Linked DNA regions of Caenorhabditis elegans. The protein of the gene in region 2 interacts with the protein of the main gene of each other region in a pairwise test. Each region holds a gene or a part of one and is shown on either strand. Other genes may lie near its edges.

Region 1 (12,231 bases), on a different chromosome or scaffold from region 2:
ATACACATATTATGTATTTGAGAGTGTGGGTATAACCTTCTCATATTTATGCTCAGAACGCTGTTTTGCCATTGAGGCGGTTGGCGGGTTGTAATTAGGTGCTGGGATGTTTTAGTGTGCGCTCGGCTTCATTTTATTTATCAGTAACTTTGAAATTGTTCAAAAAGTTACACTCAAAATAATAAAACTGTGTGGCGTGTACTGCAGAAAACCTAGTATTTAGGCCCCGCCTTTTTCTCGTCCACGCACGGGGAAAAGGCAAAACTCGGTACCCCAACCAATATCAGGCCGCCGACATCTCACGGGTTCCGCGCGCCGCTAGGTTTAACTCGCAGCGGGCGGAGACAGCTCGCCACGCCCATAGCAAGTTAAACTTTGCGGCGCGCGGAACCCGTGAGATGTCGGCGGCCTGATATTGGTTGGGTCCCGATTTTTGTCTTTTCCCCGTGAGTGAACGAAAAAAAGGCGGTACCTAAATACTAGGTTTTCTGCTGTACACGCCACGCAGTTTTTTTTTTAATTTTGAGTGTAGTTAAAATTTTTTTTCACAAAGAAATCGAATAACTATCAATATTATATCATGAAGGACTGTGGTTATTCGTGCATACATTAATGAAAACAGGCAAATACGGCATCTCTTACTTTTTTCCTCAGCTCATTTCATCTTAATATTTTATTTGGGCTTCTATTAAAATTAGACATTTTAATGAGATCAAAAACCGAAAAAGAAACTAATAAACTTTGCCGAGAAACAAAAGGAATCAAAAGACGTGGGCTTGAAAAATGAGGCTTTTTAAAAAGTTTTGGAAAGTTTGAAAACAGTTTTTAAAAAAATGAAAAAAATGTTTCAAATTTTTTCGCAGTCATTTTCGGTATATTGAGACTGTTCTTTTTGATTTTGAAAAGAAACCGTACAGAAAAAGGAAGTTTTTGAAGAAAAATGAAATTTTTGAAGACCTCTCATTACAAGATTTGGTCTTACTACATATTAGATGTCACTTTGAATAGAGCGTTGAACTAAGATTAGTTACTACAAATTTTTACATTCTTATTGGAACCAACCCTTCTCCCCAACTAGGGCTGGCATATTTGGGGTCCGGTTTTGGAATTTTAAAAAATTTTCAGAAAAAGTAGTTTTCACGGCGGCCGACAATTTCCGAGTTTGGCCACTCACTATACTTAATCATATACATAATTCGATAATGAGTGGCTAAACTCGGAAATTGTCGGCCGCCGTGAAAAACTACCTTCGGAAAATTCTCAAAATTCCAAAACCGGACGCGATGACCGGAAATATGCCAGTTCTATCCCCAACCATCCTTAATTATGCCAATTATTGTACATATATCTTACATGGATCAATTTGAATCTCCACGAACTCCTTTGAAATATTGGATGTATCCATTGCGTTTTTCACTTTCGGAATGAACGGAGCCTTAAGCTCACGATTCAGAAGCTTATCCCAATCAACCGGAAGGAAGAATGGATGATCACGAATGTCACGGAAATCATTGCGATGGCCCAGACGCTTTGAACGGTCTTTTTGCAAGAGCCCGGTGATGAGCTCACTGCATGGCACAGAGATGTTGTGCTTGAGACGAAGTGGCTGGTTGATGATCTTGTCGTACATCTCGTTATGATCTTTTGAGTAGAATGGAGGCTGAAATGATTGCTCTTTTTTGGGGGGGGGGGGAGCAGATTAAGAAAGTTATGTCAGGGAAATAAATCAAATCAGCAATTTTAGCTTGAACTATGTAATATTTTGTGTTCTGTGGTTTTGGGAAAATCACAGAACAAAAAGAAGAAGCAAAAGAAGAAGCAATTTTAAGTTTCTAGTCTGAATTACACATCAGGGCTGTACTAATAGAAAAAATATGGTAAATAGGTTATGTAAAACTTTTAGAGAAGGTCATTGGAACAAAAGTCGGCAGAGTTCTATTGCGCTAAGCTCTACGAAAAGCGGAAGAAAATTGCAGTTGTAACTACTAATTATAAAACTAGTCATCATATTTTTTAATAAACCAGCTATAATATTTCAGATTGTGTATTTCAAGTTTATGCCAACTCGGCAATCCTTACCAATCCAAAAATCATTTCATAGAGAACCGATCCCAAACACCACCAGTCAACAGTCTTGTCGTAAGGCTTTTTCAGAATAATTTCCGGGGCCAAGTACTCCGGCGTCCCACAAAATGTGGAAGTTGTCTTGCTTCCTTGCATATCTTCTTTACAGAGCCCAAAGTCGGTGAGCACCAAGTAACCTTTATCGTCCAACAGAAGGTTTTCAGGCTTCAAATCTCTGGAATGTAAATTTATATTTGCATATTGCCAAACCAATTTAGAGGTTTCTTTTTTTGAAAGCAAGTAAATCGCTACCTGTAGATAATGTTTTTCTCGTGAAGATAACCCAGAGCACATGCAATCTCGGCCGCGTAAAAACGACTTCTCGACTCGGAAAAATGTTTCTCGCGTTGGAGGTGAGAGAAAAGCTGAAATGCCACATTTTGAAAGTTTTATAAGTTTTCTATCGAGTCCATTCTTCCCTATATTAATCTAAACACATGGAATAGGTACCTCTCCTCCGTTCAAGTGATCGAGCACAAAATACAGCTTCTCCTTATTTTGGAACGAAAAGTGAAGTGAAACAAGGAAAGGGTGCTTAAAGTTGTTAATGAGCACATTTCTTTCTGCCATGACGTGTTTCACCTTAAAAACGTATTTGCTACTTATGTTCCAAAAACTTGTAACACTAATCAATACCTCGTTCTTTTTTCTGATATGTTCCTTGGACAGAATTTTCATGGCGTAGATTTTTTTGGTCTCCTTGTGCCTGACTTGGTAAACTCTTCCAAAGCTTCCTTTTCCGATAGTTGTCAGATAATCGAAATCATTGGCGGTGGCTCTGAAAATAAACTGCTAGAGGCAAAAAGTCTTGCAACGTATATATGAAACTCTGGTTTCTAAAATTTCCATAAAAATTATACTGTTGGTCGAAAAATTTTGAGTCGACAAAAATAGGTCAACATGAGATGGGAAAGCCAAAATTTTCGGAAAATAAGCAACACTTCCTATTTTGGAACGAATCAAAAATGGATGTCTTGTTTCAAAGATTGGAAAAATTTCAAAAACTTGGTAACGTAGCTATTTTAAGAGCAGATGAAACAAAATTAGAAGCTCATTGCAAACGTTCGGGGAAAAAAATCAAAAGTATTTAATATAGGTCTCCCATGAGGTCGTCGCGCAAGACGGATGTATGCGAATGTATAATGTTGCGCGGAACCCCGAACGTGTCGGCCGCTTCCAAACAACCATCTCTTCACACTACGTTGCGCACACACCAAGCTACTTATTTCACGACCAAGCTGCGGAACCCCGAACATGTCGGACGCTCCAAATAACTACATTTCGAACTTCATTGCAAACACACGGTGGCGTCGGGGTGAGGTCCGCATTTTGCGCATCACTCAGCTGGGAGCTCTACTTCAATATGTGCAACTTTGGCGATTTACCGCAAATCCTTATGGCCAAAACATACGTTTTCCTCTCACTTGGTCCGAGATCAACATTATTCTCATCATCATCCGGACTTTCGAGATGGAAGAACCGACGGACATCCTCACTGTAATCATTGTAATCAAAGAATTATAAACTATCCAACATAAATTAATCTCATTACCTTCTTAAATTATTATCAACAAGATGCTGACTAATCACAAGGATCCAAACACGTCTTTTCTCGTAGAACTTGCTGTCAGCTTGCAGGAACTTCTTTTTCGGCGCAGTGAAAATTGTAGCCGGGATCATATCCTTTTCCTGAAAGTCAATAAAAAGTTGGAAAATAAAAACTTGAAAAAACTGACAGTTGTAAAAAATCTTTCATATTCTTCAAACGTTTTTTGCATAATTGGGCCATTTCCGATACGGAGCGCGTAAACCTGAAAATATAATTTTATTTGAAAACTCGTCAAGTGTATTTAAAAAAATATTTCTGATTTGGGCATGTGTGACAAATTTGTAATTTTCTATTATAGTTACTCGCCGTGTAGTCTTCAGGAAAAATGTTTTATAATTGAAACTGAACGTGTAAACTTTAAAATATTTCTTGTGGAACACACAAATCTCAAAAGTGAACACGGTAAATCTATAAATTGCAAGTTGCCGGAATTGAAAACGTGCAAATTGCCGATTTGCCGAACTTGCCGGAAAAACGACAATTGCCAAAAATGTTTGGCAAATTGTGGTTTTGCACATTTTTAAAAAATTTCAGAATTTCAATTTTAATCGGAAAAATTGTACGCATGTTCCAACATATATTTTGAAAATTGAACAACTTCTATGTAAATAGCTAAAGAAAACGGGAAAAAGTTTCAAAAAGGGCCAATTTTCATGTGTTTCCGTCTTATAAAAATCCCTCTAGACATTTCCGGCAAACTTGATATCCGGCAGACGGAAAACCGACAATTTGCCAAAAAAGAAAATTTCCGGCAACTCGGCAAACCGGTAAATTGTCGGAATTGAAAATCTCCGGCAAATCGGGAAAACCGGCAATTTGACGATTTGCCGAATTTGTCGACAAAATTTTTTTCCGCCTATCCCTGCATCACATTATACTTTACGGACAAAAAATGAGATAATATTTATTTTTAAAACTCTTTAAATTAATCTTAATGCTCTCTAACTTACCACAGTTTTCTTATCATCTCCTATAATAACATTGCATGTCACCTCATCTTTCCTCACCATTCTCGACTCTGAAATATTCAAAATTAAATTATATTAAAACATTTATCGATATCAATAAAAAAATAAATTAATGAGCATAACTAAAACTCGTCAATAAAAATCGATTGCTATTTCCGGGAAGCAGATCATGACTTTTTCTTCGGCCTTATCAGTCCTTTGAGAGAGTTTCACTACACTTATCAATACTGCATAAGCACTTTTTGACATGAAACTTATGTTGAAAAGAAAATTGGAAAAGGTAGTATGGCTCTGGTTTCTCAACTCCATTAGAGGTAATGAAAGGGTAAAAAACTTCTAGAGAAGGAAAAAAAAATATCATCATCATAATTTCTTCCGGTTGATGCAGAAAGTGACGTCATTATTTGCATTTTGAAAGAATCATAGAAATCATAAAAAGAAGCATGCAAAGTAAATAGATTGTTAAGAGGTATATTTCAAGATGATATAGATACGTTAAAGAAAAAATTTAAACCATTAATAATTTATAAATTAATTTCAAAAATTAGATGAATGAAAATGTCTATTTTTTTATTTTTTCAAGCATAAAAATAATTATTTGAAACTCTCAAAATAGGCACAATGATAAAAAATAATTATTTTAATCCATTGCAAACCTTTTTTGTAGTTCTAATACTACACAAGTAAAACGTAATAAATTGAAAAAACGTATTCAGTTTTGATTTCAGAAAATGAAAGTTCAAATGAAAATTAAGCTGTCAAACAGAAATGCGTTATCAAATCATTACGTTTGACCAGTGGATTATTTTATGTCAGAATTGGAAAATTTGATTTTGAAATCATGAAGACTGAAGTATGTTTCAGAAAGAGTTCATTATATTATAATTTCTTGGAAAACCTAATGCATTGTATTTTCCTGTGAGCATTTATAGGTTTGTTAAAAAACATCTAAATTCATAATGAAAATTCAAAACTAGTAAGTTTATGTTTGAGTTAATGATCTATCTGCATTTTAAAGGTGAAGTAGCGCCAATGGGGATTTTGTCTAAATGCTCTTATTATGATCCAAAACGACAGAATATCATAATAAAAAACTGCAAAAATTTTAGACTTTTCATAATTTCCGGTCAAAGTTTTGGCAAATGGCCAAATTTCGAAAAATATGAGCTTGTGAGGAAATCCGAAGCATGGCCGCATGTTTAGACCCCTACAATGTTTAAATGTGAATAATTAAAACACAGTCACAGTATAAACAATGTAGAAAAACTTTTTTTTTTCGGACGACTTCCAAAATTTTGAGTAAAAACTAAATAATTGTCACTTTTTGAGAGTAAAAAAAAAATTTCAAAAATTTTTTGAATAGTTTTATTTTGATATTCCATTAATTTGAGACCATAGGCGTGGTTTTTGACAATTTCCCCCACTGGCGCTACTCCACATTTAAAGCACATTTTAAAAAAAATTTATGATAACTTCTCACAGGTGTAGTAGCGAAATTTGGATTAATTTTTTAATTGGGTCAAAATGACCCCAAAATATCGAATTTAATTTATTTTTATTTCTGAAAAAAATAAAAAATACAAAAAACTACATTTTTAACTTGTCAACCTATGTTTGTCATAGTTACCCAAAATTGATTTTTATTAAATTTTATTGAATGTTCTGTTTTTCTATGTATTTTTAATGAATATATTTATTGTTATGACTTTTTTCGTTGATTAAGTTGTTTTCAGGAGTAAGAAGTATTTTTTGCACCCATCAACTAATGTTTTCAGACCGCCGCAACTGTGACATGTTGGCAGAAATCTAGGTTTTATCTGGAAGAGCTAGGTTTTCAAAATTTTATCAGCCATTTAAAAAAATTGAGACTTTTAAGACATTTCAGATTTTGAATTTCTTAAAACAAATACAAACATTTCACAGAACCAGCCAGGTTTAATCTTTGACTCACCATTATAATACATGCTGCCCATTGTCACAGTAATGCTCTCGTATTTAGAATAACCGCCACCAGGTCGAATGTGGGTTTTCGATGTATCTTGTCTCGTGTTAACTGATTAGAATCGCTGGGTTGGACCTTGTCTTCTTATCACGGCTCACCGAGCCATTCGTCTGACTTTCTTATTTGCTCTTGATCACGTTATCACCTTTAATATTTCCCCACCTTACTTTTCCTATCAATGTTTCAAATGAAAAATGAACATTCCATATGGCAATTTTTTGATCTGTATAAAGTATTTATTGTTGAAAATGAGTAAGTTACCGGAGGAAAAAGAAACAAAAAAGTGAAAAAGTATATAGCAAACGGAAAAAATGCAAACAGGCAGGCAGCAAAGAGTTGGGGTTCAGATTTCTGGTACAAAGAGAAGAAAACAGTAAATAGCTCAAGCAAAAAGCTAGATTTAGGAAGATGTCGTTTGTTGGCTTTGACGTTGGATGTGTGTCGCGCGCTCCTGCAAAGAAAAAAATAACATTTTATTCTGCACGTAAATTTTTGGGGGTTGAATTACCTCTCCCTTATTGTTGTAAAGGATTGTTTGAACGTTGGCGCCAACACCGAATGTTTCGTCACCTTCGAAAATGAGCACTTCTGGAGGATTGGCGATTCCTTGTCCGCGGGCGAAGATCTGGAAATGTAGAAATTTGTCTTTACAGTGGTTTTTTTAATGTTAAAACACCTCACTTGAATTTCTTTTTTTTTTATGAAAAATGTTTTGTATGAAATTGATTGAAGGTGGAGTAGCGCCAGTCGGGAAATTGTTAAAAACCACTCCTTTGGTCCAAAAATGACCAAACATCTTGATAAAACTTTTCAAAAAAAATTTTTAAATTTTTTATTTACTGTCAAAAAGTGGCAATTACTCAGTTTTTGCCACTCATAATTTTGGAAGTCGATCAAAAAAAAAATTTTTTTTCGACATTTTTTATGTTTTAATTTTGTTTGTATTAAAACATTGTAGGGGTCGAAACATGCGACATTTCTTTGAATTTCCTCAAAAGCTAGTATTTTAAAATTTTTTGGGAATTTGCCAAAACTTTGACCGGAAATTATGAAAAATCTAAAAAAAATTTTGGAGTGTTTTATTATGATATTCGGTTGTTTTGGATCATTATAAGTGCATTTAGACAAAATCCCCACTGGCGCTACTCCACCTTTTAAATAAATAATTGCTTCTTTCAAATTCATTTCTTATTCAAACCTTATTTGAAAACATTTTTTTTCAAAGCTGACCTAAATAATCTCACATCTCATCTGTCCCTTTTATTGATTTCTGTGAACAACGTTTGTCTTCACAGTTTCCATCAATTTGTTTATCACTTTTTATTCCTTCTTTTTCTCCTACATACATCCCCAATCTTTCTTTTTCGAAGCAAAGTTACCCCCCCTTTAGTCATTACGGACGGATGACCTTGCCACACCCAAACGCAATCGCGCATTAGATTATCAATTCGACACACACACACAGAGACAACAACACATTTCATTCTGAGACACCAATTTGAAATGTTTTATACGCGACAGGTCCTGGGTAGCTAGGCTTGTTTCTGAAAGAAGTAGAAATTCGCAAACCTTGACAGATTGGAATGGGTGGAGGATGTAGTCGGATGGGAAGGTGAAGACGATCTCGCGTTTTCCGTCGATCTTTCTCTTAAGCTTCCAGTCTCCGAGTGGCTCTTCTTTGGCTCTGTGTGTGTTTTCCAAAATGACAAATTTGCCTTCTGGGGAGGTTTCCTGAAAAGAAATTATCATTATTGAGTATGTACTAAGTGATAAATTGATTATTTTTATGTCGGAATGATATTATTAGTGACTACAGTCAATGGCCATTGGAAGTTTTAAATTTTTGAACGTCAAAGCTTTATTTTAGCGAAAAAGCAATTTTCAAAAAACTTGAAAATAAATCCCTCACCTTGATCGCCACATTTCCTTTAGCTGAACGTTGATAAGATGTTCTGCTGGAGTGTTCTCCTTTGACTACGCGCATCGTTTCGGTGTCAGCCTCTTCATTGATTGCAGATGTGCGGACGACCTTCTCGACAAGTTGCCGAAGCCCATTTCCTTCAGAATTACCTTCCAACATTTGTCTGTAAACCTTGAGCTCCCCATCAAGGGTTTGTTTAGTGTCAAGGAGCATCTGGAGCTCGACCATGAGAGCTTGGCATTCTTCACGGAGCTTGCGGATTTGTGCATCCTTGTCATTGAGGGCAGCTTCGTAGGATCTTTGGTCATCCTCGAGCTGGTAGTTGAGATCTTCGATTTGTTTCTCAAGAAGAAGATTCCTTGATTCCAAATCAGAAAGCTTTTGGCGGAGCTCGGAAGTTTGATTGCGGAGTCTCTTCACCTCCTCTTTCTGATAGTTGTTCTCCGCGTTTTGGCGGTTGGATTGAGTATTGATCTCTTGAACTCTCAACTGGTACCAGGATTCCATGTCATTACGGTTTCCATTCATGATCTGGTCATACTCGGCACGAATGTCACGCATAGCATTAGCGAGTTCATTCTTGAAGTACTCGCGGTTTTCACTAGTGGTGTCACGAGCAGCTTGAGCCTGAAGCTCCTTGAGCTCAGTCTCAAATCCTCTCTTCATGAAGTCAATCTCCTCCAGAATAGTCTTCACCTTGTTTTGGTTGTCGATACGAAGAAGGGTTTCCTGGTCGAGCTCCTGAAATTAAAAATTGTATCTTTTTTTCCGAATACTTCATGATTTAGTCACTCACAATGCGAACACGTTGGAGTTCAGATGTGAGCCGGAAGTTTTCCTTTTTCAGGCGAGCAACTTCTTCCTCAAGGAGGGCGATGCGTCTCTTGAGAAGGTTGATCTCGGCTTCGAGGTTGGAAAGGGTAACCAAAAGATCATCAATCTTCAAACGATCTTCAGCACGCCCTCTTTGGGCCTCTTCAAACCTGAAAATAATATTCAATGTGAATTTTGTTAGATATAAACGGGACCGGTATTAATGGTATAGGATATACAAAGTTTCAACTTCTTAACGGAGTGATACTGGAGCAATGGCTAGAATTGCTCAAACTCTCCAGAATAGGATCCAGATTTAGCAGATTATCAATATAAACGAATCATTACGGTTTTCATATTTACTATGGTTTCTCATCTCAATTAAACTCACTTCTTTCGCAACTCGTCGAGTTGATCCTGAAGCTTACGAATCTCCTTTTCAGTCTCTCCGTGATCCTTTCCTGTCTGCTTGACAACATTGGTGGCAGTGGTGATCTCCATCTCATACATAACTTTCACAGATCCGGTACTTTTTCCAAATCTTCCTTGGAGCATCTTCAGATCGGCATCCAACTTTCTGTTCTGAGCATCAAGGAATCTGACCTTCTCAATGTAGCTAGCCAAACGATCATTGAGCTCCATGATTTCTTTCTTTTCACGCTCACGGTTGTCTCGGATGGTGGACGCAGCATTCTGTCCGTATGGGGAGAGTCCACTTGAAACTGAGGAAGAGTGAGTTTCGGTGACAATCTTCAGCACACGATTCCCTGATCCTGGTGCTCCATAGTTTTGACTACTGCTGGTAACAGTGCGGTTGAATGATGGGCGAGAGGTGATGGAGCTGCGGTAGGAATCTGGATCGGTCATTATGTCTGAAAATTTTAAATTGTTAGAAAAATCTATGTTATAATATATTGGGGAGCAAGAAAATAGAGAGAAGTTGAAACAATCAGATTGTCTAATTTGAATTGTTTTATGAAAACTTAGAAACAAAAAAATATAGCAATTCAGGGACAATGTGAGAAAAATGACAAAACCCGAGACACACCCTCTTGAGAATATAACTAACCACACCTACATAAGTAAATCGAGAAATTGAAAACTGGGAGGGGAGGTGGAGGGCGACATAAAAACTGCCTCACCTCTTCCTTCCCAACCCATCAACATTTCTTGTACACGAAGAAGGTGGCGGATCGGGAGGGGCTGGAGATGGGCGGCGCAGTGAAGATGATGGAAGGGAGCGGTTTTCTCCAATTTATCGTTTTTTTTCTCTCTCTCTTTCCTGACCACTTATCCATTCGCAATCCCCGCCTCCATTGGTGATTGCAAAAGTGACGAAGATGGACATGTTCCCGTAAGTGAATTATTGTTCTACTACCAGAAAAGGGTGTCGTCCAGATGAGTCAGGAGTCAGTTAAAACACGATTGGGTGTGGTTTTGATTAATGATTATTCGTCTTGAGAGATTGTGAAGTTTAACTGTTACATATTCTATTCAAATATTCGATTCGAGGTGACTAATTGATAGATTAAGTGATAGATATGTCAGAATTCACCCACTTGCCTCGAATTAAAATGATTAGATAAATGTGAAGAGACAGCAAAAAAGATTTTTAGTGATTGAACTTCGGCAAACTTCAAAGGAAACTTTCTTAAATGTTTGTTCTTAGTTTCAAAATGAAGAAACTAGTTTCAAAAAGTAATTAGTCAAAGAACTACAGTTTTTTTACACCGATCTAGCTGCAACATGAATTTTGGTTTTTTTTGTTGTTATTTTTGAATAATCAAAACAATTAAAAGCCAATAGTCTTATTTAATATTTGTGCTCTAGTTTTCGTTAATTAAAAAAGGAATATAAATAGAATTTGAAATCAGCTCCCTTAAATGATTTAACTACTTCTTTCTCCGTAAAGTGAAAAAAATTTGAGAAGAAACAAAGAAAATTTTAATTTTCTACTGTTCCTAGGTAGGCAATAAGCACAAGCTATAACTGTAATAAACTTTAAGGTGAAGTAGCGCAAATGGAGATTTTGCCTAAATACACTTATAATAGGCCAAAACCACGAGGAGAATTGCCAAAATTTTGAAAATATGAGTCTTTTAAGGAAACCCAAAGCAATGTCGCATGTTTCGACCCCTACAATGTTTTAATACGAATAATTTAAATAAAATTGCATTATAAAATATGTAGAAAAAAAAATTTTTTTTGGTCGACTTCCAAAATTATGAGTGGCAGAAACTGAGCAATTGTCACTTTTTGACAGTAAATAAAAAGTTTTCCAATTTTTTTGAAATGTTTTATCATGGTATTTGGTTATTTTGAGACCATAGGAGTGGTTTTTGACACATTCCCCACTGGCGCTATTCCACCTTTACAACTGAATCAACTAACTGTTGTTTATTAGAATATATTAAAACATATAAATTTAGATGTCGAAAATCAGTGAATAAAAAATTAGTAAGAAGTAGTTTAGGTCATAATGAAATGGCGCTCAATGTTAGATCAAAAAATATAAACTGAAAGACAAAGAATGGATGAAAATTTGAATTGAGTCATGGCAAAATACTGCATGAAATAAATAAAAAATTACGGTTCCGTACAATTTCGGCTTGAAAATAAGAAGAAAAAATTAACTAAGATGGGGAAATTTCTCGTATTGTTATCCGAGCAAGGTTAGATTTATGAAGTTGTAGTCTGTTGGCTTTGGCGTTGCATGTGTGTTGCGCGTTCCTGCAAAAAAAGATTCTAAATACTTTTGAAATTTTGGCTTGAGTTACCTCTCCACTGTTGTTGT
Region 2 (12,231 bases):
TTTGATCAGCACCTTTTTCGAAATTCGTGCACATTTTGAGTCCATACGAGCAATATTCCTTCAATAAAAAACACTTACATAGCTCTTCTGTCCACCAGGCGCAACTTTATTCGGAGAAATTCGTTGTGTTGCCATACTTGCAAATTTCAGCAAAAGTCGTATTTGATCCGGAATAGCGGCTCGCAGAGATGTTCCTGATAGTGTACATTCAACAAATACAATTTTAACAGCTTCCAAAAGAGCTTCCTGTGTCGGTGTCAGATGTGTAGTAGCTGATGGAAGTACAAATGGTGCTTGTTCTGATGGAATGGGTACATTCATCATACTTTCCAGTACTGCTGGCAGACTTTCATATTTTAAATCGTCTACAGTAATACTTTTGGCAACTTTGTCGAATAATGGAGGGAACACATGAAGAATCGCTGTGAGATGAGAAGGTCCGGGAACATAGATTCCTGGAGCAAGCGATGCTAACGAAGACGATGATGAATTCATTCTTGGAGTTGAAGAAATTGATTTCGAATCAGCATTCACTGAATTTGCCATTGCAGCACATCCTTGTCTAGCCAATCCTCTTGAAATTCTCAGCCAAACTTTCCAAGATTCAACCCATTGGGCTTGTGGTAACTCGGGTGTAATTGCATCAATAGTAGAATCAGATCCATTGCTTTTTTCATGACTATTTACATTCAACGTCTGTGATGAGATTTTTCCGAGTAAAACTTCCTGATAACTTCGAATTGCTGATAGTGATAGTTCGGCATTTTCGTAGCACGCAGCCCAATCCAAATATCCTAGAAATGCTTCCCAAACAGCACCAAAGTCATTCAACGCGAGCAAAGATTTTCGTTGAGAATTGAAAATTTTGGATATAGCAGAAATGGTATGAATGCATGTTTCCGTCCATTGCTTCTGTTCTGTATCTCTCGAATGATGCATTATCAGTTCTCCATTTGATTTTTCCGTAGATGCACATCTTGTCTGTGATCGAACTTTGTCAAGTAATGGAATCATTATCTGCCATATAACACTATGCCATGCAGCAGATCGAAGTGCATGTCCATGTGCTGTGACTGTTTGTAGAAGAGTTTGACACGCTGATTTTCGTACAGCAAAGCGAGAGTCTACACATGATTCGGAGAGGCACGTGTACAGTACCATCCACACAGCTTCGGAAGCATCGTTTCCAACGGATTCCATTTTTCGGTAAATGAAGTCGGAAATCGTCCACTGAAAATATTAGGATTAATTATCGTAAAACTTGAAAAAAAGTTATTGCGGTGTCGTCTGAAAGACGCGTGGATTTGTTGGAATGGGTCTCGCCACGATATTGTTTGGTACCGTTATTCTATTAATTCAGGACTATTATGGGATCACAAAATTCGAAGAATGCATATTGCGCAACATATTTGACGCACAAAGTATCTCGTAGCGAAAGCTGTTGTCGATTTACTCGATTTTTTCCATTTTCTTTAGTTTTTTCGTCATTAATGTGTTTTATTTTAATATTTTAATCGAATTATAATAACTGATTTCTGTAAATCGGCTTCAGCTCTACAGTAGCCAGTTAGAGAGTCAGTGTAGTTTTCGCTGTTTCTGCTCGTGGCGAGAACCATTTAATCGAATCTTTGCGTCTTTAAGCACGCGTTATAAAAATTGGAAATTACGATACGGTATATATTATGATAATTTTTTAAGAACAAAAAATAATATAATTTTAACTCACCAGCAATGTTAACGCAGACAAGGAAATGTTTTGGTCCGTGTTCTGCTTGGAATATCGTGAAATCGCTTCGACAAGCCCCGAAATACAATCAAAAGGAATTGATTGTAGAAAATCAGATGACACGAGACGAAGACCAAGATATCCTTGTCGTACCAGAGACAGCTCACACCTTAAAATATAAAATGTATAATTAAAAACTTCAAAAGAAAAACTCACTCAGTATCACTATCAATGATGGCTGAGATAATTTGTATAACATTGGGCCATGACGTCGAAAGTAAGAAAGCACCATCAGTTTGCATTAGTGACATTACACAATCGAGTTGTCTCCGACGAACTTGAATATGAGGAATTGAACAGAGAGCTAGAAGCGATGAAATTATCATTTCCTGTTGACTTTTTGCATCCATTGAAGTTTTCGATTTTACAGCATGTTTTGCTAGTGAAGTCAGTGCAACTGCTGCCCAATCACGCATTGATACAGAAGTATGATTGCACACCTGAAATTAGATCATTGAAGTTCAGTAAAATTTATTTCCAAACAGGCAAGTCTAGCAGTTCTACAAAATGATCCAGTGTGGCTTCACAATATATTTTTTTAATGTTTAAAATTTAATGATAAAGACATGATATCTGAAAAAATTTAAAAATTTACTCAAAAACTGTCATGACAATTGCCGGAAAAATTTCGGCATGTTTAAACTTTCATACAATTTTTGAGCAACATTTTAATTGTTTCAACTTTAAAAAAATTTTCAGACAAAGCACAATTTTTTTACATTTTAAATATTACTAAATTACAATGAAAACTATTAGAAGAACTGGTTCATTTTGCTGGCCGCACCCCTGATTCCAACAAACCTTGATAAAATGATTAGCAGCTTTTTGCCAAAATACTTGAAGTCTCATCAATGAAAGTGAGCAAACTTTATAGAGAACTGCAAGAGGAAACAGAGAACTTTCTCTTCCAGTAGCTGCAACAGCGAGACTTTCATCAGAAAGACGAATAAGGGCATCTATCACAGAAAGAAACGATTTGTCTGGTAGTGCAGCGATTGCAGGTGCTACTTTATCCATTAATGATGATAGCATTGCTATGTCAGAAAGTGCTGCATTTGTCACCACAGTTGGTACATTCGAATGATCATCTCTTGTTTCTCGTTCAAATTGTCCAACTTGTGTCGGCCGCATTGCAAGAAGCCAAGAAAGATGCTCACAAGTTGCCATACACAGATACCACAGATTGTTGAGTTCCTTGATGTGTGTAGTGATTGAGGCGATAAAAGTTCGAGCAGCTTGCAAATTTTTCGAAGTGAGCAATACTTGCTTATTCCATAATTCTGTTGAAACTACAGGGCATGGACATGGAGGCCCTGATGCTGTAACTTGGGTCGTCGATGGCCATGCTTCCAAATCAAATACTTGCTCCGAAACTGGAGCATCCCGTTTATTGGCTGGACTTGGTGGTGCGATTCCTGCGAATTGATTCAGGTATGATGGTGATGGTAAGCTCATTATTGCCAGAACATAGACACTTCTATGAAGATCAGCATCAGCTCCAACTCGACATCCAGCAGATATAAGAGTCGAGAGACAACATAGTAATTGATCGCTCACAATTTCATCTGTACTGGCAGCTAGAAGACTTCCGATTGCAGCTAGAATACTTGGCTGAGAATTTGCATATGCGACTTTTGCAATTTCCAGCTTGGTTTCTGAACTTCCAGCTTCACTATTCTCATCGACAAGACACAGTTTATCGATTGCAGCATAAACAGCTTGAGTCATATCACAAAGAGCTACACAGCATCGAGAAAGTACATAACCTTCTGGAATGGCAACTGCATCCATACGATCAAGAGAGTCCAGTCTGAAAATGAGATTTTTAATGAAGAATATGATTTGTTTTCGACTAACAAAATTGTTTTCTTTGATGTCAGATGTTCCACGTATGGAACCCATAATCCTTTGCTCAAGAATCCAGGTCCTCCATCTTCTTGGCTTCTATCTATTTCATTTTCTTGGTCTGAAAAAAAACTGTGATTGTAAATAAATAAATATTACACCATACACGAAATTTTACGCACAAACTACGGTAACAGGAAAATAAAACAAACATTTTGGGTTGCATGCATGTGTGCGCCTTCAAAGAGTACTGTAGTTTCAAATTCTGGTTTCTGTGGAATTTGTACCAATTATTACAATTTGTCGTGTCGAGACCAAGAACGTCGTCAAAAAAATTCCGATATTTCGGTTTTTCAGAGATAATTTTTAAAATCGGAGTTTTAAAAAAAAAATGTTTCGGGAATTATCTGAAAAGTTCAAAATGTTTTCAAACTTTGTTTATGTTGAAAAAAACAAGAAGAAAACGTATATAATTTTCTTTAAAATATGGCCAAAATATTTTGGAATTTCGAGCGGTTTTCCGAGAAAATCGATTTTTTTTCGGAATGTCGGAAAATCAAATAAAAAACGAAAATTTAGATTTTTGAAGCCGAAAAACCAAAATGTTTGTTTTTTTTTTCAGAAAATCGGAATAGCAACATCCTTGGTTTTCATCCTTAGACCTGTTACCGTATTTTTGCATCTGAGAAATATTTCGAACGTACCACTGGAAAATGTCGTACAGACAAGACACTGCTGAACAACAGTAGATAATCCAATTGCAACTTGTTCGAGAACATGCGTCGAATTAGGACGACAATCAAAAGATTCAGTCATCCATTTGACAAGATCCGTACTCGAAACAATTCGATGCAAAGATTCTAGGGCTAAAGGTCTCTGCCATCCTTTCCTATCTCCATCCACAAACTTCAGTAGTGTTGATATGAAAATTTCGCATTCTGTGTGCTAAAATTTGAGAAAGCTTCGATTAGAACTTCAGTAATACTACGGTAGCTTACAAGAATTGTCTGATAGAACTGTACAATAAGAGTGACAATCCGAACGAGACGCATTGAAATTGGAAAAGATTGCCGTTCATGAGAAATTGTTGGTGGGTAATTGTTGAATGACGCATTGCTGGTTCGAGATGATGGATGTTGAGAAGAAATGTGCATAGCTTTCACGTTTGGAGAGAACAACCGAATTATTAATGGACACACATCGTCTTTGAGCAAATCACCGAATTCGGTGTGCTGAAAATTTAATATTAATGTTTTTTTCCGTATAATAACGTTTTTTGCTCAACTTACTCTAATAAATACTGAAGGAAATCCTTTAAGAAGTGATTCCAGCAATTCCAATCCTAGAGTCCGCGTTGTTTCCTGTATTCCAACTAGCCAAATTGGAGCTTCTCCATTGATCAAAAGGCATAAATCCTTGAACAACATGTATGCATCAGCAGCACAAGGTCTCAAAGTTGGTGGAGCTGCACGTGGACTCGGTCGCCCTCCAGATGGATTTACAACAGTTAGTTCCGTGGAAAAAATCCCATCTTCTTGAATAACTCTCTCGAAAACCGTAGAGACAAGCTGACGAACTGCAGCAGAAGCGGCATTTATTACAATTGGATCTTTGGCAAAATGAAGACGGAAGCACATAACGATACACTGAAAATGAAAAATAAGAATATTTAATTGTTTAAAATATTTTTTCATACTTTAGCCAGTGTGTTACCAGTGACAATTAATTCAGAAGAAACAAGTGGAGGGACTGTTTGAAGAACTCGCAATTCCTCGCATTCTGCTTCCACTAGGGACCATAATTCATTAGTTACAATTGTGGCGCCGTTCTGAAAAAAAAACATTAAAAAATTAAAATTCAAAAATGTATAGGCAATTGGTGTCTGACAGTTTTACAGAATGATTTTTTTATTTGAATTTAGCGATTTCATATAGAAAGATATTTGCTTTATCTGAAAATTACGTTTATTTCAGTCGGAACAATTCAAAAAATGTCTGAAAGTTGAGAATTGCCGCAAAAAATCTGAATTAAATGTCGAGTTTTTCCACCTGAAATAAAAGTGATTTTCAAATAAAGCAAGTAATTTTCTAGGTGAAATAGCTAAATTTCAATGAAAAATCTAGGGAGCACAAGCCACACGGGCTCATTCTGGAGAACTGCCGGTCACCAATTGCCACGCATCACGGATCCAATCCTACCTGACTGAGAATCCTATGCTGTACAAGTCTCTGAATTCCTTGCAAAGCGATTTGCACAAGCCTCGTGTGTCTAGTTTCACATGAGAGCACTAATGGATGTAAAAGTTCGGTGCAAGCAGCTCGGAGATTTGTGATCAGAACCGTATCACCGACAGACGCTGTACTGATATTTCGAATCCGAACAACACCCGATTCGGCTGCTTCTTTTACATGATTCTGCTTCTTTTTTGCTTCTTGTGATAAAAGACGAAGATCGCCTAGAAGTGCTTCAACCAGTTTCTTCGAATCTACCGCATTTATTGACATTTCTGAAAAATGATTTTTAATTCAAAAATAATTGTGAAAAAGGTAATGAAAAGAAATGAACAACTTGTGGAATTAATAAAAAAATCAATGCTCTTAAAAATAAATATTTATTATTTATCCATTCAATTAAAAAAAGGATAGCAGAGATCATTTCAACGTGAAAAAGAGCCACCAGCAGCAGTATATTAAAACATTTTGGAGATGACATGGGATTCAAATAAAAAGATTATGGCAAGTTGAATGTGTGTGACTAATTATGAATTTAAAGAGGAAATTTTAGTGTTATTCGATATGGAACACGAAGTTTGGAAGGAAGAGTACAAGATTGGAATGATTGGATAGATTGAAAAAAATATCACATTAGAGCTCTGGAACAGGCACCTGTTTCGATGCTAAATACGGAATGATATTTCCTGGCGCCCATTGAGAAACCGTATACACAGAATTTTCGTAGAATTGCATTCCGATCGTTGCAGCAGTACGGAAAATCTCGCCAGAAGATGCTGGAAATTGTTGAGCGAGAACGGCGAGAATACAGATAGCGAGGCAGATGAAGGTTTGTAGAAGCATCATGAGAGTTCCCTCAGTTTTCGGAAAAACGGACTGTTCGTGCCAAGATGGTAGCAACTCTTTGTCAGCTGATTCCAACTGTGAAGAAAATGCATTTTTATCTTTGCTGACTTTTGGAACAAAATCCTTCCACACAATACTAAGAAGTTGAAGAGCACCATCAATTCGTTTCCAATGTTGAATATGGAAAAATGCATAGGCCAGTGCTTCAGAGTCTCCACGTTTCAAAAAGTGTTCAGGTGGCATTATCATTGATCGAAGTTCGAGAAGATATGGTGGAACATGTGGATTGAACTCCATTGCACGAGTCAGTGCTTCGATTGCAGTTTGTTCAGCAGAAGAAAGTCCACGACGAATTGATGAGTCTGCAGCGCAGCGGAAACTGAAAATCAGATGTTAATTGGGCATTTTTGTTTGTCTTTCAAAATCTTATTTCAAAAACTTACTTCTCTGCAACAGCTCGAACCTTCAACAAGGCTGATGTATAACTCATCGCGGCTGATCTTGGTTCACGAAGTTCATAGGAGCAGGGAGCACCATATCCATCATATCTTACAAGCAAATTCTGAACATCTGCATATGCCTGAACTTCTAAGCATGCTTCTATGAGATTGTCTTGCACAGATAACAACGTTGAAAGAGATTGGTCTCGCGACAGCTGAAATTTTTTTTTTGAATTTGTATTAAAATTTCAAAGAATTCCTTACATCTCGAAAGCCTTTGATAGCTTCACGAAGTCGTCCTTGTTTTCTTGCACACATTGCCAACCTTCTTTTAATGTATGTTTGAATCGTCAAATCACGCTCTGAATATCAGTTTTTTGGTATTTTTTAAATAGAAATTCAAGATAAGCTCACTTCTAACAGCATCTCCATTTTGCGCATAACTGGCAATTTGATTGTTGGAATAGGAATTCAAAGTGGACTCAATGGCACGGAGAGCTCGACGAAGAAGATTTTCAGCTTGAGACACGGTTTCAGATTCTTCTTCTGCTAAGAGGACAAGTGCCGATGCACATTCCGGATTGATTGCCAACGCTGCTCGGGCGGTTTGAATTCGCTCTTCGCTTTCTCGCTCTCGCCATGCTACTTGCATTACTGAATTTTAAAACTTTTGCTTTTTTTTTAAATTTAAAAAACAATCCATACTTTCATATTCTGCTCTACCTTGATCTTCATCACACATGAACAATGACTGATGGTCCTGAGCGGATAAATTCATGTCATAATATGTTAATGGCTCTGAATTTGTTTCCTTTCGAAATCGATTGTACTCGGCTGCTCGAAACAGCGCCATCGGATTCCGCCAGACTTTGCATTCTGAAATTTTTCGTTTTGAAATAATAGAGATTTTTTTATTATAATTATTTATTAGGAAAGTATTAATTATTTCAAATTCCGATATGAGTTTGTGTTAATTGACATTTTGAGCCATACCTGGGACGGTTTTCGTATTTTCGATGCTTTCGTCGTTATCAGATCCCTCTTCGTCTCCTGCATCGATTCCGGCGTTGCTGAAACAAAAATTGAAGCTTAAAACGTGAAAATATGAAAAATCAACTCACTTCTTAAAGTACCACCATTCGAAAATTAGAATTATCCCTGATACCAAACTGGAGGTTCCTGTCAATGCCACGTAGAACTTTGGTGTTAGATTGTTGAAGTACGACGTCGCTGTAACTGCACGGGACATAGAAAAGAAAAGTCTTAATTTAAACTATAGACTAACCACTTTCAAGCGACTCTGATATCTTGAGTGGTCCTCGCAAAGCGAAGAGAAGCACTGCAACAAGTGCGATCCATAGGAGCCACAGGAAGGTCCATGAACAGGCCATGACCCCTAAAACACTCCAATATTAGGAAATATAAAAACTAAAAAGGCTTTGAGAGAAAAAAAAATCGATAAGAGATGAAATTGATCGGATCATTTTGCTCATTTTCGTGATGTGTAGGAAGCTAAAATTAAAAGGCTTTAATTTTGTTTGAAAGTTCTCAATTTCTTGTACCGCGCATGAAATAATAGTCAAAAATATTACTTTTAAGGCAAGATGCAACTTATTATCCGACAGCCGGTTGGTGGTTGTTGGTGACGTGCCAAAACAACGCAGAGAGAGAGACCGCGAGACATGGAAGACGGACGAGAAATCGATTCAATTCAAACCCTACGGCCGCGGCCTTGAGCAAATTTGTATTCTTTTACGTTAGCTAAAATATTTAACATTTCCGCATAAAACGCAAATTTTCATATTCGCAGCCTTAGTCTTTTTGAATTTACAGATTATTTTACGCTTGGTCGCTAATATATTATTTAAAACATATGTTTCTAATTTGAGTTTACTTTTGAAAGTTTTAAATCTAGAATAAACATTTTTAGTTAGAAAAAACGTTTTTTAATCAACCTATATCAAAATGCACGTAAGAATCGTGTCAATTTTCAATTCCGTTAGCTCAGGATTTTGCAAAACGAGAAAGGAATAAAACAGTTTCATCGGATAAAACAAATTCAATTTTTAATTTAAATTAAAAGAGTTTGAAATAAAAATAGAATTTATCGAACAAAAGTCGATAATTGGAAAACAATTGAAACTTTGTACGCAATTATTTGAAATCTGTGCAATCACCGTTGCTTACCGTAGTCGTGTAGTCCTCTCGGACAACTTTGATGCTTGGCTGATTTTTATTTCTGGAGTTTTTTTTTGTTTCTCCGGAGAAACAAGTTGATTAATCATTACTTTTTTAGTCAATCAATTATTATTTTATTCTCAGATGATTGTGGTGGCGCAGCATGTTCCGGATATGCAGCTAAATCCGATGCAAAGATTATTCGCTCCTCAAACCATGACAGATCTTGTTTCGAATATTACCGCTCCTATGACTGATGTGGAAGAAGCTTTGTTCAATCAAAGAGGAATGAAAGAGGTACAATTATTCTTCCAGTATAAAATTACAACACATATTCAATTTTCAGGCTCCCTTTCGCGATCTGGATCGAAGTGGAAAAGCGGTTTGTAGGAAAAACAAATTAAAAATGTGTCCATTCGGTCCAACATGCCCTCTTCGTCACATCGATGGAGAAAAAGCTGTCGTATGTAAGCATTGGCTTCGTGGTCTTTGTAAGAAAGGAGATCAATGTGAATTCTTGCACGAATATGACCTCACAAAAATGCCCGAATGCTTCTTCTTCTCTAAATACAGCGCGTGCAGCAATCGAGAATGCCCATTCCGACATATTGATCCCGAAACGAAAATGAAAGACTGTCCATGGTACGATCGTGGATTCTGCAGGCATGGACCATACTGCAAACATCGCCATCGTCGTCGTGCAGTCTGCCCCAACTATCTCGCCGGATTTTGTCTACAAGGACCAGATTGTCAATATGCTCATCCTTCATTCGGTCTGCCATCATTCGAGAATATAGCTGTCAGTCATGCCAAACCAACATACAGTCAAGCTATTACTTGCCACAATTGTCATGAAAGAGGCCACAAGGCAACTACATGTCCACATCTTCCAGGACAAACAAGACAAAATCAAGATCATCACCATCGTGTTGATCTCTCACTTATACCAGATAAAAAGAATCTATCAGATGTTACTTGTTACAAGGTAGGTTCATTTTAATCATAAAAAAAGTAAAATAATTCAATTTTAGTGCGGAGAGAAAGGTCACTACGCCAACAGATGCCACAAAGGAGCTCTCGCATTCTTGTCAAATACTGCTCACCTGGCTCACGAACAAAGAGAAAAAGATGAAAAAGAACAAGGAAGGATCAATAATATGCTAAGGCCGCCAATGTGAACATTGTCGAATATAGGAGAACGGGTGGAATCTGTTATTTTTGTTGTTTGTCAAGAATTCGAGACTGTTGGAATAAAAATTTAACCTTCCAATTATTTAATTTGTTGTTTTTTTAATATTCTTGGTTTGAAACCACAATTTTACTGATTAACATTACAAATTTATTTTATAGAGTTATATTAAGCTAACATTATTCAGATGACTCGAAAAAGACCAGCTCTTGCAGAACCGGTTTCATCTTCTCGATCACGGGTAACGAGAAGATCAACAACAGGTGCACCTTCTTCAAAAAAGAAGCGTTCACCTGAACCGGAATCTGATGCAGATTCTGAAGATGATTACGATGGCCCATCGACATCCCAAACCAAGAAATTGAAGCGGGGAAATTCATCGACGAATCGCGGAAAAGCAGCTAATAAGACAAAACGAGGATCTTTTCAAGTTAAACAAGAAATCATGGATGACGATGAAAATGAGGAAAAAATAGATGGAGAAGTAGAGAATGGTATAACATCCAGAGAACATTCACCTGATCCATCTACGTTCAAAAAGACAGCGAAATTACAAACTAAGAAGAAAAAGAAAAAAGAAAGCCCGCCGGAAACTCCACCAACATCACCAAGTCCATCACCATCGCGTTCGGTGTCTCCGTCTACAACAAAATCAGATATTTCTTCGAAAAAAGGACGCAAGGCTGTTGTAAATTCAGTATCAAAAGTGAAAATCGAAAAAGAATCTACACCAGTAAAAACGAATGGAAGAAATTTACCTCCTAAACGAAAAAAGAAGCCAGTTGAAGAAGAAACTGCAGAAGAAATTAAACTTCGTGAACGAGCTGAACGTAAAGCGAGGAGGATAGAAGAAGCTAAAAATCGTCCGAAACTAACTATTGAACAAAAACTGGCAAAACTTCGGAAGAAAAAAGAGCGAAGAGAACGGAGAAAAGAGCAAGAAAAGGAAGAATCGATGCGGCAGAAATATGGGCAACGAAAAATCAAAGCAGAAGCCAGTAAATGGAATTTTGGTCCGATATCATCGATTAATCAACGAAGGAGGGACGAAATGATGGCTTATTTTCCAAAAGCGAATTTTTTGGCCGAAGATGGTGTACCAAAAGTGATGAACAATTTTCGAAGAGCAACAGTGAAATATAATATGGAAGTTTTGAATCCATTCATTACGTGTGGAATTTGTGATGTGAGTTTTTAGTTTTAATTTATAAGTCCAAATATTTAAAAAAAAAACCAGATCATAAATTAAACTTTAAAGATCGGTTAAATTTTTACTTTGAATTTGAAGTTTTCTGAATTGAATTATCAGAAATTTCTGTATTTAAAAAAAAAAGATTGAAATAAAAAAAAATTGAAAAGAATTAGGATTTCTTGATTAAAAAAAATTACATCGTGTTTGTGAACCAGAATAAAAGAGAATAATAACCTCTCGAAGTGTTTTTCGGTAATTTTTAGTGCAATTTTTGAAAAAAATAGAAATTTTGGAAATTTGATCACTTTTTTGGATAATCTGAATTTGGAAATTACCAACACAAGTTAAAAATTTATTCAAAAAATTTTATAACTTTCCTTGAGTTGTTTGATCTCCTCTATTCCATTTTTTGTAGAAAACTAAACAATTATCGCACAAATCTCTGTTGATTTTTCTGGTTTTTCACAAAAAAATACTTCAATCACAAGCAAAGGCATTAAACTAAATGGAAATCACCATAGGAA

Evidence for each region.
Region 1: the proteins of mon-2 (region 2) and sgk-1 interact in a two-hybrid assay, tested with the Caenorhabditis elegans proteins (one study listed by BioGRID).

What each region holds. Positions count from the first base shown.
Region 1 is NC_003284.9:16,255,378-16,267,608, forward strand, and holds the start of sgk-1 (Serine/threonine-protein kinase sgk-1), read right to left. Parts: upstream 6,675-12,231; coding exon 6,653-6,674; intron 4,752-6,652; coding exon 4,684-4,751; intron 3,936-4,683; coding exon 3,861-3,935; intron 3,814-3,860; coding exon 3,677-3,813; intron 3,620-3,676; coding exon 3,536-3,619; intron 2,903-3,535; coding exon 2,761-2,902; intron 2,707-2,760; coding exon 2,575-2,706; intron 2,490-2,574; coding exon 2,377-2,489; intron 2,300-2,376; coding exon 2,080-2,299; intron 1,661-2,079; coding exon 1,354-1,660; intron 1-1,353. Other genes in the region: mua-6 (Intermediate filament protein ifa-2), read right to left, coding at 7,104-7,154, 7,212-7,328, 8,273-8,434, 8,613-9,365, 9,421-9,607, 9,829-10,304; Intermediate filament protein ifa-3, read right to left, coding at 12,117-12,167, 12,215-12,231. UniProt on the Caenorhabditis elegans protein: Acts downstream of PI3 kinase age-1 and kinase pdk-1 in the daf-2/insulin receptor-like transduction pathway. Essential role in regulating development, stress response, and longevity.
Region 2 is NC_003282.8:12,090,685-12,102,915, reverse strand, and holds the start of mon-2 (Monensin-resistant homolog 2), read right to left. Parts: upstream 6,138-12,231; 5' UTR 6,136-6,137; coding exon 5,830-6,135; intron 5,460-5,829; coding exon 5,328-5,459; intron 5,278-5,327; coding exon 4,921-5,277; intron 4,864-4,920; coding exon 4,630-4,863; intron 4,577-4,629; coding exon 4,336-4,576; intron 3,753-4,335; coding exon 3,644-3,752; intron 3,597-3,643; coding exon 2,588-3,596; intron 2,227-2,587; coding exon 1,943-2,226; intron 1,896-1,942; coding exon 1,727-1,895; intron 1,231-1,726; coding exon 79-1,230; intron 1-78. Other genes in the region: F11A10.5 (Protein ST7 homolog), read right to left, coding at 6,496-7,087, 7,152-7,363, 7,413-7,510, 7,563-7,802, 7,854-8,024, 8,142-8,218, 8,270-8,384, 8,434-8,539; cpsf-4 (Cleavage and polyadenylation specificity factor subunit 4), read left to right, coding at 9,501-9,623, 9,673-10,311, 10,358-10,504; Polycomb group RING finger protein 3 homolog mig-32, read left to right, coding at 10,703-11,701. UniProt on the Caenorhabditis elegans protein: May be required for traffic between late Golgi and early endosomes.